Linked DNA regions of Danio rerio. The protein of the gene in region 3 interacts with the protein of the main gene of each other region in a biochemical or structural test. Links are inferred from orthologs where the notes say so. Each region holds a gene or a part of one and is shown on either strand. Other genes may lie near its edges.

What was found.
Region 1: the proteins of rps6ka1 (region 3) and gopc interact in a test that uses a peptide from one of them, tested with the Homo sapiens proteins (2 studies listed by BioGRID and IntAct, with this or other methods). The link is inferred for Danio rerio from reciprocal best matches to the Homo sapiens genes RPS6KA1 and GOPC.
Region 2: the proteins of rps6ka1 (region 3) and tamalin interact in a test that uses a peptide from one of them, tested with the Homo sapiens proteins (2 studies listed by BioGRID and IntAct). The link is inferred for Danio rerio from reciprocal best matches to the Homo sapiens genes RPS6KA1 and TAMALIN.
Region 4: the proteins of rps6ka1 (region 3) and pdzrn3b interact in a test that uses a peptide from one of them, tested with the Homo sapiens proteins (2 studies listed by BioGRID and IntAct, with this or other methods). The link is inferred for Danio rerio from reciprocal best matches to the Homo sapiens genes RPS6KA1 and PDZRN3.

Annotation. Positions count from the first base shown.
Region 1 is NC_133195.1:45,541,680-45,545,850, forward strand, and holds the start of gopc (Golgi-associated PDZ and coiled-coil motif-containing protein), read left to right. Parts: upstream 1-1,344; 5' UTR 1,345-1,481; coding exon 1,482-1,763; intron 1,764-4,171.
Region 2 is NC_133198.1:35,148,516-35,152,158, forward strand, and holds part of tamalin (general receptor for phosphoinositides 1-associated scaffold protein), read right to left. Parts: intron 1,873-3,643; coding exon 1,779-1,872; intron 514-1,778; coding exon 447-513; intron 1-446. UniProt on the Homo sapiens protein: Plays a role in intracellular trafficking and contributes to the macromolecular organization of group 1 metabotropic glutamate receptors (mGluRs) at synapses.
Region 3 is NC_133192.1:28,543,792-28,547,997, reverse strand, and holds the start of rps6ka1 (ribosomal protein S6 kinase alpha-1), read right to left. Parts: upstream 2,846-4,206; 5' UTR 2,356-2,845; coding exon 2,293-2,355; intron 1-2,292. UniProt on the Homo sapiens protein: Serine/threonine-protein kinase that acts downstream of ERK (MAPK1/ERK2 and MAPK3/ERK1) signaling and mediates mitogenic and stress-induced activation of the transcription factors CREB1, ETV1/ER81 and NR4A1/NUR77, regulates translation through RPS6 and EIF4B phosphorylation, and mediates cellular proliferation, survival, and differentiation by modulating mTOR signaling and repressing pro-apoptotic function of BAD and DAPK1.
Region 4 is NC_133181.1:46,767,917-46,771,559, reverse strand, and holds part of pdzrn3b (E3 ubiquitin-protein ligase PDZRN3-B), read left to right. Parts: intron 1-1,945; coding exon 1,946-3,469; 3' UTR 3,470-3,643. UniProt on the Homo sapiens protein: E3 ubiquitin-protein ligase. Plays an important role in regulating the surface level of MUSK on myotubes. Mediates the ubiquitination of MUSK, promoting its endocytosis and lysosomal degradation. Might contribute to terminal myogenic differentiation.

The DNA.
Region 1 (4,171 bases), on a different chromosome or scaffold from region 3:
AATAAACAGCATGCATCATAATCATTTATTGTAAAATTCAACATTGCTCTTAATATCTTTAAAGAATCTAAAAAAATACATAAATGTCATAAATTGTACAATTTATTTTATTAATGTATTTAAATAACCTAACATAGTTTAATCAATCAATCAATAAATAAACATGTCATCATTACTGTAAAATTTAAAGTTACAAATAAAAGTTCAAAGTCATTTAAAAAGTTAAAAACAAATGCATAAACATATATATAACCCAAACATAAAACAAAATTAAATAGAACAAATATAAAGTAAAACTATATAAAATAAAAATAATTTTAAAAAGTAATTATTGCAGATACTTCTAGACAAAATATATCCGCTATAAAGTTTTAGAGCTTAATCCATGATATGTTAAAATGTTAAAGGAGCATAATCAGTATTAATTGTTTTAATTACTTTTTTATTTTTAGACATCATATATGTATAGATGATATGATAATCACTTTTTAGCATTTATGAATGAAAAATTAACATCATAATAAAATAAAGTTTCTAATAAAACCAGCATTCTATAAAGAGGACATAATAAGCCCAAAATCACATGTTTAGATGATAATGAATGTTTTTAAAATAGGAGCGATAAAACTTCCACAGGCATCACGGTGGCGCAGTGGGTAGCACGATTGCCTCACAGCAAGAAGGTCGCTGGTTCGAGAATCGGCTGGGTCAGTAAGCATTTCTGTGTGGAGTGTGCATGTTTGCCCTGTGAACCCGTGGGTTTCCTCCGGATGCTTCGGTTTCCCCCATAGTCCAAAGACATGCGGTATAGGTAAATTGAGTAAGCTAAATTGTACGTAGTGTATGAGTGTGAATGTGTGAGTGTATGGATGTTTCCCAGTGATGGGTTGCAGCTGGAAGGGTATCCGCTGCGTAATACTGAATAAGTTGGCGGTTCATTCTGCTGTGGCAACCTAATATTAATAGAGGGACTAAGCCGAAAAGCAACTCCCTTTTTTTTCTTCTTCCATTTCAAAAAACTTGCAATTCTAGAAACTTCAACATTGCTCCAAATATATCGAGTATATCAAAAGTACCAAAGTAAATCTTATGTTGAGCATATAAAAAATTGAGTATATCAAAAGTACCATAATAAATGTTAGATTTTTTTTATATAAGTCAATAAAAAATAATTTTAAAAAGTCCGGTAAATGACCAAAAAAAAAAGCTAATAACCTCAAAAACCTGAAAAAAATCGATTCGCTCATCATTCGACTGCTTACCTCATCGTGTGGCAGACCCGACTAATCAATCCGCGTTGTTGACTTGTTCGATCTCGGATTTCCTGGTCAGATGAGAGCACGGGAAACACCTCAGCTAAACATCACTCTGACTCTGTAACACAGCAGAAGTCAATCATTAGCATAAACCAACTGATCTATCCTACTGAAGGACTACATTCGAGTTCTCCGTGAGTTTTCCCCCCTGTCTCAGTCTTGAAGATGTCTGCGTCCGCTGGCGGTGCTGGATCACCGGGATCGGGCCTCTCCGCCGGCCCGGCTGCGGCTACCGGCTCCGGTATGTCCATGTTCCGGTGGCTGGAGGTGTTGGAGAAGGAGTTTGACAAGGCATTTGTGGACGTGGATCTGTTGTTGGGAGAGATCGATCCGGATCAGGCTGATATCACGTATGAGGGCCGCCAGAAGATGACCAGTCTCAGCTCGTGTTTTGCTCAGTTGTGCCATAAAGCACAAACCATCTTCCAGCTCAACCACAAACTGGAGGTAAAGAGAATAGATTAAACTAGATCAATATATTGAGGTATAGTTGGTTTTATGTTAACACATTCGTTCATTTTTGAACACTGACAACTAGTGTCACAGTTCCTATTTTGTGTTCACCATGCTACTTTAAATATTCGGTCTGAAATCGCATGTAAGTATGACTTCAAAACAACATTAGCAGCACCAACCGACTCTGAACAATGTTGTGCTTTAATAGTCATTTATTGGCTGCTAATATGATTTCCCTATTTTGAAACTTCAAAAGATACTTTTCTAAAATTCTATTATTTTACTCATAACAGATTTTTATAAGTACAAAACAGAACAAAACATTTACACAATCATTTTATACAAGTGATAAGAAAAAATACACTGTAAATCTAAAAAGTTAAGGTAACTCAAACTGTTTGAGGAAACTGATTTCAACATACCATTTAAGTTCAGAAACTAATCCTAATGGGTACTGTGATCTTAATCCATTTGTGTAATGAAGCAATTTGAGCACAGTAAAACCCAGTAAAAAAAGAGAACTCAAACCAACTTAGTACTGTAAAAAAACAATAAATTAAAGCGACTCAAACCGTTTTAGGAAACCGATTGCAATAAAGCATTTGAGTTAAAAACTAATCTATGAGTACTGTGAACTTCCTCCATTTAAGATGAAGTAATGAGGTTTAATTAGCTCAATATCTTCAACGCCTAGTTCAAAACTCTTTTCAAATGAACTTGCAGTACATTTTGAGTTAGCTACACTCATTTTGCTTGATAAAGTTGACTGTTTTACAGTGTGCAGACAAACTGACAAAAACCAGTCCATCCAAACATGCTCCATATAGAGTAAATCATATACACTATTAGGTGTTACTTGATCAAACTCAAAACATTAAAAAATGGAGTGGAAAAGAAAGAGCAAAAATGTCCAAGAATCCTACTTACAACTCTTAAAAAAAGAAATGCAAGGAAGAAGCCCCAGATTTTTCAAGCTGTTTAGAAGCATCTGCCCTAGCAAAACAAATTCTTTCAAGCTTAAAGGGCCATGAAACCCCCTCGTTTCAGCAGGGTGTTTTCACACCTCTTCTTTGGAAAAAGTCAGAAAAGTGGGCGTGTCCAGATCTGTTTAGGGGGGAGTGTCGGAGGAACTAAAGTGGGAGGGTGTGGGAGTGTCGATTTGGGCACGCGCGAGTTTCAGAGTCAAAATACACACACACACACACACACACACACATACATACAGGAGAATGTGATGGTGTTTAACCTACATGGACATCTGTAGTCGAATTATTAGCCAAATTATTAAATGGTGGACTTTAACTGCAGTTTGGCTCTTTCATTCAGGGAATTCATTCATGTCCCTCGCGACACACGAGACATTTGATTCGAGGAGCTGCTCTAAGCGTGTATTTTTCATGCAATGTTTTATACCGCACGGCGAATGAGAGAAAAAAACCCTCTGCATTTCCCAGAAACTTAGATGCACACGACAGGTAGTGTCAGAAAGCCGCGCGTGTTATTCCGGTCACTAAATGCGGTAAAAACCCTACACGAGGTTAAAGTTTGGTTGTGGTGCTAACGTGTTTACACTCTGTGCAATAGTTTGTTAGATACGAACAAACTGAATAAACAAAGAGCACTGGTCGCTCACTTACCAAATCTGTAGAGACAGGACAATCACCAGCAACTAGAGCCGCGTCTTTATGAAGAGAATACTACAAACGATTCCAGATCTCAGCGTTTGCAGATGAGAACAGCTCTCAGGTAAACAATAATCCTCCTTAGACACGTAAGTTATTGTTGTCGCGCGTCGCGTACACTGTAATCCACACGTGAGTCTGAGCTCTCACAGAGAGAAAATGAAAACGAAACTTAACTGCAGCAAACTATAAAAGCAACACTTCACGCTTGTTTTGCCAACACAACATGGCGTCTCTGTCCTGAAAACACGGTGATAGTAATGAATATTAATGAAGTTGCACAATAGAGTGCGCTGATTGGTTTGACCCAAGCCTTACTCATGCATTAATGTATCACACTGTAAGACGTAATAAGACTCACTCAGGCACAGACATCCAGTCTGCACGCTGGAATACACGCTATTATGTCATGACCGTGACGCAGCTTCAAAAATTCGTTTCAAACAGGAAGTACGAATTTGCTTAAAATAACGCAAAAACAACCAATTTACACTTTTTAGTGAAATATAGGTGTCCTAATAGTGTTTTTAGCAGTGTGGGACACATATACGACTGTCAACAGCTCAAAAAATGTGTTTTGGTGTTTCGTGACCCTTTAAGAACAATTTTAGTCAGCCATTTCTGAAGTAAGTAGGTGGTAGAGTGGACTTCCAATCCATCAAGATCACCCTTTTAGCCACCACCATACCAAACATAATAGACATTTGCTGATTATTT
Region 2 (3,643 bases), on a different chromosome or scaffold from region 3:
TACCCATTCCAAGATACAGTTTTTTTTTTTTTAAAGTAAAGTCAACATTTCACATTTAAAGCAATGTATTTACTCACATTTTTTCAGTAAAATAACTAATCACTTTTTAAAGTCTACAACTTTGTAATTTTTTACCCAGATCTTTTAACTTTCAAAAATAAAAAATACATTTAAAATTTTAATTTGACAGCCCAGGCATCGTCGTTCACTTCGCAGATTATGGTGAGGAGTGTAAAAATGTGTTTTTCTCCTTGTGTCAGCTGTACTGTATGTGGTATGTAAGGATTAAGAGGGGACAGGTGTAGCGTGAGGGGAAACAGGTGTGATCGCCCCTAGTGTTTCTGTGCCAGAGCGGGGCAGCTGTGTTAACATGCTCGCCTTACGTTACAACACTTGTAAATGCTCGATATGTGCATGTCGCTTTACACATGGTTAAAGAGACTCACCTTTAGATACTGCAGACGAGCTTCCAGTTCTGCTTTTCTTATAGAGTCGCTGTAGACGGTTTCTAGCCTAAACACAGGAACAAAAGCAACACAGTGATGCATGTCAAAAGTCATTTACTTTGTTGTGAGAGTAAAAGATTAGATGTCTGATTATGATATGACTGCATCTAGATAAAGTTAAATAAGCGAGTTTATATATACCAAAAGTATATTAAATGCAAGAAATGTGTCTACTTACTGTTTTAAATAAAAAATAAAATAAATATGGGTAAAAATATAAGTAAAATATTTATGTAAAAATGTTTGTTGTTTTATTTATACATTTAAATACATTTACATTTGTAAATAAACCTATTAACTAATAAACCTATTGGTTTTAAGGAAAAACTTTTTAAAAATAAATGAAAATGTAACTATAATAATAATAATAATAAAATGTATAAATGTAAATAAACCTATAAACTAATAAACCTATTGGTTTTAAAGAAGGTTTTTTAACTATAAAAATATTATTCTTTAATTGATAAATTAATAAATAATTATTAATAAATGAATTAGTATTTTGCAGCTGCAACTATAATAATAATGTTAATTATTTATCCAATTATTTATTTTGTGCTGAATAAGCCTCTCACTAATGTTACTAATTATGCTATTATTTATTAAATTAATGACATTTTACTTTTTGTTTTCTGTAAATCAAGGTAAAAAAGCATCATATATATATTATGTTCATCATTATACTGTATATTATGCTACGAAAAGAGCTCACAAACCTTCAGAATTTTTTTTTTGGCTTTACAAAACTTTATCTTTAAGTATTTTCACACTACAATCTACTAAAAACAGCAATTAAAGGCCCTTCAAACCACAACAAATCTGAATCGGAGCTAGGCGGTAACCCAAAACTCCCCTTCCCCCAAATGTATATGATTTCATTGGTGACGTGAATATGAAGCGGGAGCCTCTTTTTAACGGGCTCCTGTAAACATTCTCATTTACAGCAGGACCCCTGTTTAAAAGTGGAAATAATTGGGTTAAAAGCCATGGAGGGCCTTCATGTGGTTCGCATCTTCGCTTTCCACACTTTATAAATGGAGGTTCATTTTCACGGGCCTTTTATCTTTTATTGAACAGGAAATAAAAAGGGGGAAGGAAAGTGTGCTTCCAATCAAGCAATAGCAGATCTTATTCTTTAAGCTAATCAGAAAAGAAACCACTGGTACACTGGAACTATTTAGATTTCATTTCAGCTCCTTTATTGGGGAAAGTGTGACGGTATTTGGCTTCTTTAGAAAATCAGAGATGGAAGAATGTTGGATATTTACAAACCTAATGTTGTTTCCTGATGATTTAATGAGCTGGACGATTTCTTTATGGCGAAATCCGTCAACTGAAGTGTCGTTCACGCTGGCAATCGTGTCACCTATAAAAAAATTAATTAAATCACAGAGAAAAGTGTTAAACTGAGAACACGTTTGGTTGGAAAATAAATAAAATAAAACCTAAAAAAGTTGTTAGTTCTCTGGATCTGCTTTTTATAGCCACATGTCTGTCGTAAAATGTTAAATTATGTTTACTTTGATAATATAAGTGTTTTACATAACTACTGAATAATACATATTTAAAACACTTCAGACAAGAATATTATCATTTTAGACCATTTATTTACTGAAAATGACATTAAGTCAATATAAAATATTCCATACGTGTAAACCTTTTAATATTAATTTAATTAAATTAATTTATTTATTACACACATTTTATTTACTCAATAGTTAAAATATCAAAACTATTTTTATTTCATTTTATTTATTTATTTATTTACACACATTTTATTTACTCAATATTTAAAACACACACACACACACACACACACACACACACACATATATATATATATATAAATATTTTAAACATACATTTGATTTACTTAATATTACATATCTCACTATTTTTAATAGATTTGATTATTTACACATACATGTTATTTACTCAATATTTAAAATATATATATATTTTTTATTAATTGTAATAATTTTCCATACATTTACTCAATATTTAAATAAAATAATAATAATAATAATAATAATAATAAATAGTTTTCATATTTTAAAATGAGCAAATAAAATGTGTTTAAATAAATATTTTTTTATTTAAACAAACATTTTATATACTGATAATTTAACATATGAAAGCTGATTTTTTACAATTCTTATATTGATGATATATAATTTTCTGCCAAATGCACTAAATGTTAATATTTCTATGTAAAATCTTGAAGACACGTTGTCATTAATGTTTATATAAACCAAAAGCTAACAAACTTTAAGTGGCCTTTTAATTTTTTCATCCTCTATTGCCATATTTTCCAGAATATAGGTCCATCTTTTAGCACGCAAAACATGCTGCCATTATAAATCTAATTAACTTGACGCCAGCAAAAACACGTCTGTGCATTTTTTTCCCCCTTCTGGCGTGACTTCGAGCTGAAAACACTTTGTTCATTGCAACTTTTTTCTTCATTACATCAAATGATTGTTTCCCTGAAGGGTTTTTGGGACGCATCTGTTGAGGGCCTGAACGGCACACATCAATCTGTAATAAAACAATTCCTTTTCTCCTCTGAGAGTTTTGGGTTGTCTGGTGATGAGGTCATGTTCTTTTGAGCGACAGGCCAGGCAGGACAATGGCGCAAAGCATGCAGGGAATGCAGGAAGCGAAACCAACACACGCACGGCAACACCGGGTAGGAGTTCCTCTTCACTGCTGAACTGACATCAGTTTATCTGACATGCAGAACTGTCAAATCGTGGACACAGAAAAGTTCAACTGATCTCAGGACAGAGTAAGCAAGTTTTCATATGAAGAACTCCTTGTTCTCTTCAGATAATAGAAAGGAATGCAGAATCTGCATTTTAAATTTCCTTAAAGCGCTAACAAATCATTAAAGCCTGAATATGGCTTTCCAGGATAATGACACAGATGTATTTTTGAGACATTTCTTGATCTTCTTCTCAACTGGTTTTGCATAAAGTTGCCATTAAGCTTCTATAAAGATTAATACACAAGTTCCAGGTTAACATCTGGCAACCGTTGTAGGGGTTTTCTGTACATAGCAGTAAATAATAATAGATATTACAAGGAGTTTAATAAAAAAATAGCTAAATTGTATAATGTATAATTTGTTTCATAGA
Region 3 (4,206 bases):
AATCACACTGGCAGAGTATTAATAAAAATAAAAAGCTATTGGCTGCTTTTTAAAAGGGGAGGAGCTTTCCTGCCCTGTTTTCAAGTTTCATTTGAAATTGTCACACACCAAAAATGCACATTTCAAAGCACTTCACAGGACCTTTAAACCAAGCTAACTTAATGTGTACTGATACTTCATGATTCTGTAAGCATGAAAATATATACACCAAAATGCTGCAAGTAATGTCAGATTATCAAAACAAACATATCAAAACTAGCAATAGATCTATTTATTTGTAAAGAGTCATGTTTTGACTGCAAAATTGCACTTATGTTGAATATAATTTGATGCAAATGGCAAAATGCCCTTTTTAAAATAATATCAGACAGAATAGGCAGGTGTGCATTTTACATACATTTACATTTTGACGACACATTTTTTCTTCAATCTAGTAACTACACACTTTGTGTGTCTGGGGTCCTTTGAGCACTAGCAGCATGTGAAAAAACTAAAACCTGTCTTTTTCAGACAAATTAAGTGGTGTGACTTCCTGTGCTTAGTCCTTTGTTCAGCGAGTCTATATCAGGAAGAAGCACTTTAAGATCTTGTGGTAGGCTACTTGCAGAAATGCTGTAGCAAGATTCTAATCAGTAGAGCTTTCCTGCTAAACTTATATTAGATTTTTTTCTGATCAGTTCTGCCTCTCGTTTTCATCTGCAGAAGTAATTTCGTTCAAATGACTGAGAAAACTGAGAATGTTTCTGCAGCAAACCTGCTGCCAGTTGATTGGTGGTGAACTCATTGCGCAGGTGAGAGAGCAGAAGGCAAGGGAAAATTAAAGTTAATTTAATCTCAAAATTGCACAGATTACACGAACAGGAACAAAAGAGTAAAATACGCCTCTTATTGTGATTCTCAAATGAGATCAACATTAGTCTGAGAGCAAGATAAGAAATTAAATCTTCTTCCTTCCATTCTCATTAATCACTCACAGAACATATTGTCTCTGCTTGCCTTGTAGTTGCAAACTTGGCCTGCAGCTGAATTGGAAGAGGAAATTCCAGAGCTGTACAATGCAAACGTCTTGACAGTATTCTGTGATACAAAACTCGAACTGACTAGGAGTTTAGCTCTCAGAGATGTCAGCACTGTGGTCTGTCACCAAAAGATACAAATCATCAAACTAGCATATTTGAACACATATCGCAATTTAAATCTTTTAAAGGAAAAAACACCTAATTTTTTTATAACCAAGCATGACAATTTATACTGCAGATACGAGTGGATGCTATTTGATTTTGACAATGTAAATATTAAGTATTTATATGCCAATAATTTTATAACATGTTTAACATAAAAAAACACTAAAAATTGTGTTTTTCTTATGCACCACAACTAAAGTTCAGAAATACAAAAGAGCTCGATAACTCGAGTGTTGTTTCCCAATGCTTCTTCTGACCTTAAACTGCTGTATTATTTATTTGATTTTATGACATTTGACATGTACCCCAGAGAAGAGAACTGCACAGTGAAAAACTGGAAAACAGCTGCTTCACTGAGCACAACAAGAAAACAATATTCTTCCGCTGGAGTTTAAAGATGACACAACTGCAGAGTCATTCCCTAAAATTGGTTCATTTTTCCACGCTGAAAATGTGATTTTATGTGATTTTCTGATTTAGAAAAAAGGTTATGAATCACTGAAGTGGTGGCATGTTTTTGGATTATACTTTCATGCCACATTATTTAAAATCTAGATATAATTGACTTTTTTCCAAAGCAGCTGTGAAATAGCATGAACATGATTCTTAAAAAAAATTATGGTTTTCATCAAAAAAGAAACTTGAAAACATGGTTGATATTCACACTGCTATCATTACAAGGCTACGACTGACATCCAAATGAAGAAGGTTTATGGGTCTGGTGTGTGTGTGTGTGTGTGTGTGTGTGTGAGTGTGAGTGTGAGTGTGTTTAAGTTAGAAAAAGATTATTTGGTTAAAGTCATCGATTATGAAGGTCACCTAGGCACTTTTTTATGAAACGACCCTCCAGTATTAGGAAACATCTGACCTGCACTACTTGAGCGCTGCGCGTCCTGCTGGCGCTCCAAAAGAACAGAATAAAGACCCTGACCATCACACCTGCACAACTCTTTAGTTATTTTGCACAAAGTATCACATTTCTAGACGACTGCTGTATTTCTCATGAACTCCTAAAGTCAAACACGTGGACCTCTGGCACGGATAGAGCAACCTAAAGGGCGCACATTAAATCAGTTAATTTTAGTGCTGTGATTTCACCACCTCTCACCTCCGTCTCCAACTGCACCAGCTCCATTTTGGGCCATGGCTCTGCCAGTTGAGCAAGAGGCATTGTGCACGCTCCTTCTGTTTGTCTCAAGTCCTCAAATTTGAATGGGAATTTCTTCCGAACCCGTGTATTTCCTGCTGGCACGACCTGATATGTCCCTTTGGGTCAGGAGCAAACGGGCGACTTTCCTTGCTTACAATCCGCGCAGGACGCGCATAATCACTTCGTAGAAAAAGAAAGATCAAAGCTGTTATTCCCGTTTAAATGACGTTGACGGATTCTCCTCTCAGTCCGGCTAGGAAGAGGAGTTGCACAGCCCCGTTCCTGGAAATGAACAAATCTCTCAGACACGCGCAGGTGGACTCGGCTTTCAGAAGAACATGCACTGCGCGTCTGCGCCGATCAATCGCGTCTCCTCCGAGGAAATCCAATAAGATGTGTTAATGCAATACGGTGGAAAGTGTCTTCTGACACTGACTGTCGGTGTGCACACAGACGCTGCAAAGAGGAGCCGATGCTGTCAGTGTGTTCTCCTCTGAACCGAATCCACAGTGTAAAAGCTTCAGCCGATCATTGGTTTGAAGACAGTTCTCGGCCAGCCCCTTTTCCAAACACTCTGCTTACGCCCCTCTCTGGACCTGTGCTGTTACTGCAAGGCAAACTCTAAAGCTGCACTGACAAGGGCTGAAACTTCTAGCTCAAATTTACAGGTTGTTATATTCAAACAAACTCTCATGTAACTAATAAAAAATCCTCTTCCAAACATACAGTAGTTTAATTATTTTGCGGTCTCGGCGTGGATTTATCGGGAAATTGCGTTCAAACCTCATACACACGTGCGTGTCACGTCACCTCACACAAATAAAAGTATGTCCTGCTGTCCATAGCTTAAAATTTAAATATATTTGTGTCAAAGTTAAAGAGGCCAGATGAAAACACTTCTTAAACTCCTGGAGATCAATACTTTTTGTTTTTAAAAATTCCATTTGTGTCTGAAAGTACATTTCACAGAGAAGACTCACAACAAAAACAATTATCTTCCTCAAAACTCATACAATTTTGTTTTGTTTTTTAAAGTTAGAAGGACAAAAGTAACAGAAAAAGATACATTTAGATGGAATTTTGGGGGTTTCAGCAAGAACTGATAAATCAATCATGTTCACATGACATTAATTCGTCAGAATTATGTGCGAATTTAAAGTATTGGCTATGTCACAAAAATTCAGATTGAATTACAGACTTTGTGTTTTGTGTTTCAGTCCACACTCTCATAAATTTGTCAACCAACTTAATCAATTTGTTAAAGTCTAATCAAAAAAGTCATCAATTCATAAACTGGGTTCTGAAATAAAAAAATCTAGCAGTTTGATTATTACACGTTTTTCAGGTGTAAGATAACATTTGGATGTTTTTTATCACTTAAACAACAACACCACCACCAATTTCCTATAAAATATCTTTTTAACTGCATTTGACTGATATGAAAGCATATCATCCCAGGGCATTTCTCAGAAAAAAAAAAAAACTTCTCAACAAAAGAGAGATTGATGTAACAAAGTATTCCCCATTACTGGCACAAGTAGCCTATCTCCTTTTCCATCATGCTAGGAATGCTGTTCGATGTTCTCAATTGTAATTGTCTTGTAGGCTTGCCCATTTTGTGGCGAGGCAGTGATATGCCAATACCTCTTGACTTTTTATTCTCTCAAAGGGAGCAGAGAAGAGCAACTGTTGCTTCTCGCTGAGAGTGGTTACCACTGGCAACCACAGACCATCTGCCAGCGTGCCGGTGAATCTGTTGCCAGAGTAAAACAGAGTATGAATGGCCGCCTTTATGAGATGGTAGTGGGAGGATATGGAGTGTGCATTGGTAGAGGACCATGTTTCATTGAGTCAAATGATGGGACAAAGTAC
Region 4 (3,643 bases), on a different chromosome or scaffold from region 3:
TAATTTAGTTTAATTACTTTTATTGTATGATTAATTTAAAAGGTACAGAATTAGGCTTATAGCTGTTCGGTTTAAATGCCATACAGTATTGTACTTATTTGTGTACTTCATTTAAAAAATGTATCATGACAGTTAAAAGGCAAATATGGCTGTATAAACAATTGCTAACATTGCTGTTATCAGTAATGAAACTTAATAAGAGGGCAATTATTGTAGTTAATGTAATAGCTTGGTTTTTTTTTACTATACCAGTGGCAAATCGATACTTACAATGCATCCGGAAAGTATTCATAGTGCTTCACTTTTGCCACATTTTTTGTTACAGCCTTATTCCAAAATGGATTAAATTAATTTATTTCCTTAAAATTTTGCACACAATACCCCATAATGACAATGTGAACAAAATATTTTTTTGAAATTGTTGCAAATTAATTAAAAATTCACAGCCTTTGTTCAATGCTTTGTTGATGCACCTTTGGCAGTAATTACAACCTTAAGTCATTTTGAATATGATGCCACAAGCTTGGCACACCTGTCTTTGGGAATTTTTACCCATTCCTCTTTGTAGAACCTCTCAAGCTCTATCAGATTGGATTGGGAAGCGATGGTGTACAGCCATTTTCAGATCTTTCCAGAGATGTTCAATAGGATTTAGGTCTGGGCTCTGGCTGGGCCACTCAAGGACATTCACCGAGTTGTTGTGAAGCCACTCCATTTATATCTTGGCGGTGTGCTTTGGTTCATTGTCCTGCTGGAAGAAAAACTGTCGCCCCAGTCTGAGGTCAAGAGCAATCTGAAGCAGGTTTTCATTCAGGATGTCTCTGTACATTGCTGCATTCATCTTTCCCTCTATCCGGACTAGTTTTTCAGTTCCTGCTGCTGAAAAACATCTTCACAGCATGATAGTATTAGCCTGGCATTCACTCCAAGGGGTTTAATTTTAGTGTCATCAGAGAATTTAGTTTCTTATGGTCTGAGAGTCCTTAAGATGCCTTTTGACATACTTTAGGGGGGAGTGGCTTTTCTCTGGCCACTCTACCATACAGGCCTGATTGGTGGATTGCTGCACATATATGGTTGTCCATCTGTAAGGTTCTCCTCTCGCCACAGAAAAAAGCTGGAGCTCAGACAGAGTGACCATTAGGTTATTGATAACCTCGCTGACTAAGGCCCTTCTCCCCCGATCACTCAGCTTAGATGGTCGGCCAGCTCTAGGAAGAGTCCTGGTGATTTCAAACATCTTGATGAAAGCCACTGTGCTCATTGGAACTTTCAGAGCAGCAAAATTTTTTCTGTAACCTTCCCGAACCTTGTGCCTCGAGACAATCCTGTCTCTGAATTCTACAGACAATTCCTTTGTCTTCATGCTTGGTTTGTGCTTTGACATGCACTGTCAACCCTGGGACCTTATATAGACAGGTGAACTCCAATTAAGCTGCTGAAACATCTCATGTATGATCAGTAGAAACAGAATGTACCTGAGCTCAATTTAGAGCTTGACGACAAAGGCTGTGAATACTTACAGTATGTACATGTGATTTTTCAGGGTTTATATATATATATATATATATATATATATATATATATATATATATATATATATATATATATATATATATATATATATATATATATATGTATATATAAATTTGCAACAATTTCAAAAAATCTTTTTTTCTCATTGTCTTTTTGGGGCATTGTGTGTAGAATTTTGAGGAAATAAATGTATTTAAGCCATTTTGGAATAAGGCTGTAATATAAAAATTGTGGAAAAAGTCAAGCACTATGAATACTTTGCAGATGCATTGTAGATTCGCCATCAGTATCATGAAAGAACCCAAACGATTCCTTATCCTGGCTTGAATGTATTCATACATAGAGTATGGTGTTATTGAAGGTTTTCACTGAAGAGATTAACAATATACCCTGAATTGTTTTGTTACAGAAAAAGCACGAGGAAGATGGAGGTACAACAGATACAGCCACACTGCTCTCCCACCACCATGAGAAAGACAGTGGTGTGGGCCGCACTGATGACAGCACTCGCAACGATGAGAGCTCTGAGCAGGAGAATCTCGCAGATGACCAGACCAGCGCCTCCACCACACTGGGCAGCCGGCGCAGACTCGCATACAGTCAGGACACCCTTGGCAGTGGTGACCTCCCCTTCAGCAGCGAGTCCTTCATATCTGCAGACTATGCAGACGCAGAATTCTTGGGTGACTTTCCTGCTGATGAATGTGAGCGGTTTCGGGAACTTTTGGAGCTGAAGTGCCAGATGCAGAGTGCAGGCAGTAGTGGTACCCCAGATCAAAGCTTGTTGTGGCCCAGTGGTGGACAAGGCGGTGTTGGAGAGGAGGGTGTCGACAAAGAACTGGAACTTCTGAATGAGGAGCTCCGCAGCATTGAGCTTGAATGCCTGAGCATAGTCAGAGCGCACCGCATGCAGCAGTTACGGGAGCAGTGCCGCGAACAGTCCTGGATGCTGCACAACAGTGGCTTTCGCAACTACAACACAAGCGTAGATGCAAGGCGTCACGAGTTAGCAGACATCAGTGAACTTCCGGAAAAGTCTGACAAGGACAGTTCCAGTGCATACAATACTGGTGAAAGTTGCCGTAGCACCCCGCTCACATTAGAGCTCTCCCCGGACAACTCCTTGCGACGTGGAAATGAAAGCCAAGCAGAAGCAGGGGCAAGTAGCAGTACCTCGGGTCCCAGCAGAATTCTCAAACCCCTTCTCTCACCCGTCCAAGAGGCTTGCAGCCCCACTAGGGGCCGTCCAACATTATTAAAAGAGTCAGAGGTTGGTACCCAACCTGAAGTCAGAGAGCGCAAAGGAGGTCGTCATGCACATCCTCAATCACCCTACAAACATGCCCACATCCCGGCTCATGCCCAGCACTACCAGAGCTACATGCAGCTGATCCAGCAAAAGTCAGTGGAGTATGCCCAAAGCCAGATGAGCTTAGTAAGCATGTGCCGGGACCCTGTCACTTCTGCTGACTTGGGACCCAAGATGGAATGGAAAGTGAAGATCCGCAGTGACGGTACCCGATACATTACCAAGCGGCCAGTTCGAGACAAGCTTCTGAAAGAGCGAGCACTACGGATCCGAGAGGAGCGCAGTGGGATGACCACAGATGATGATGCCGTAAGCGAGATGAAGATGGGTCGGTATTGGAGCAAAGAAGAGCGCAAGCAACACGCCGTCCGTGCCAAAGAACAACGTCAACGTAGGGAGTTCATGAAGCAGAGCCGTATGGATTGTCAGAAAGAGCTGGGGGTCACCACTGAGGACAAGAAAGATGTCAACATTATCGAACTTAGTCACAAAAAAATGATGAAGAAGCGGAATAAGAAAATCTTTGACAATTGGATGACTATCCAGGAACTGTTGACCCATGGTACAAAGTCCCCTGATGGGACACGAGTGTACAATTCCCTACTCTCTGTGACTACAGTGTAGGCTCTGAAATGTTCTGTATATAGGACACTACCGATGGGGTAGACAATTCTGCCTCGTTCAATGCGGCAACATTTGTAAATAGGAAATATGAATGCCTTGTCTGAAGGAGCCATTTGCCAAAAGAAGGTACAACGAGAGTCTGAAATATTGAATAGGATGATGGTTTTATACAAG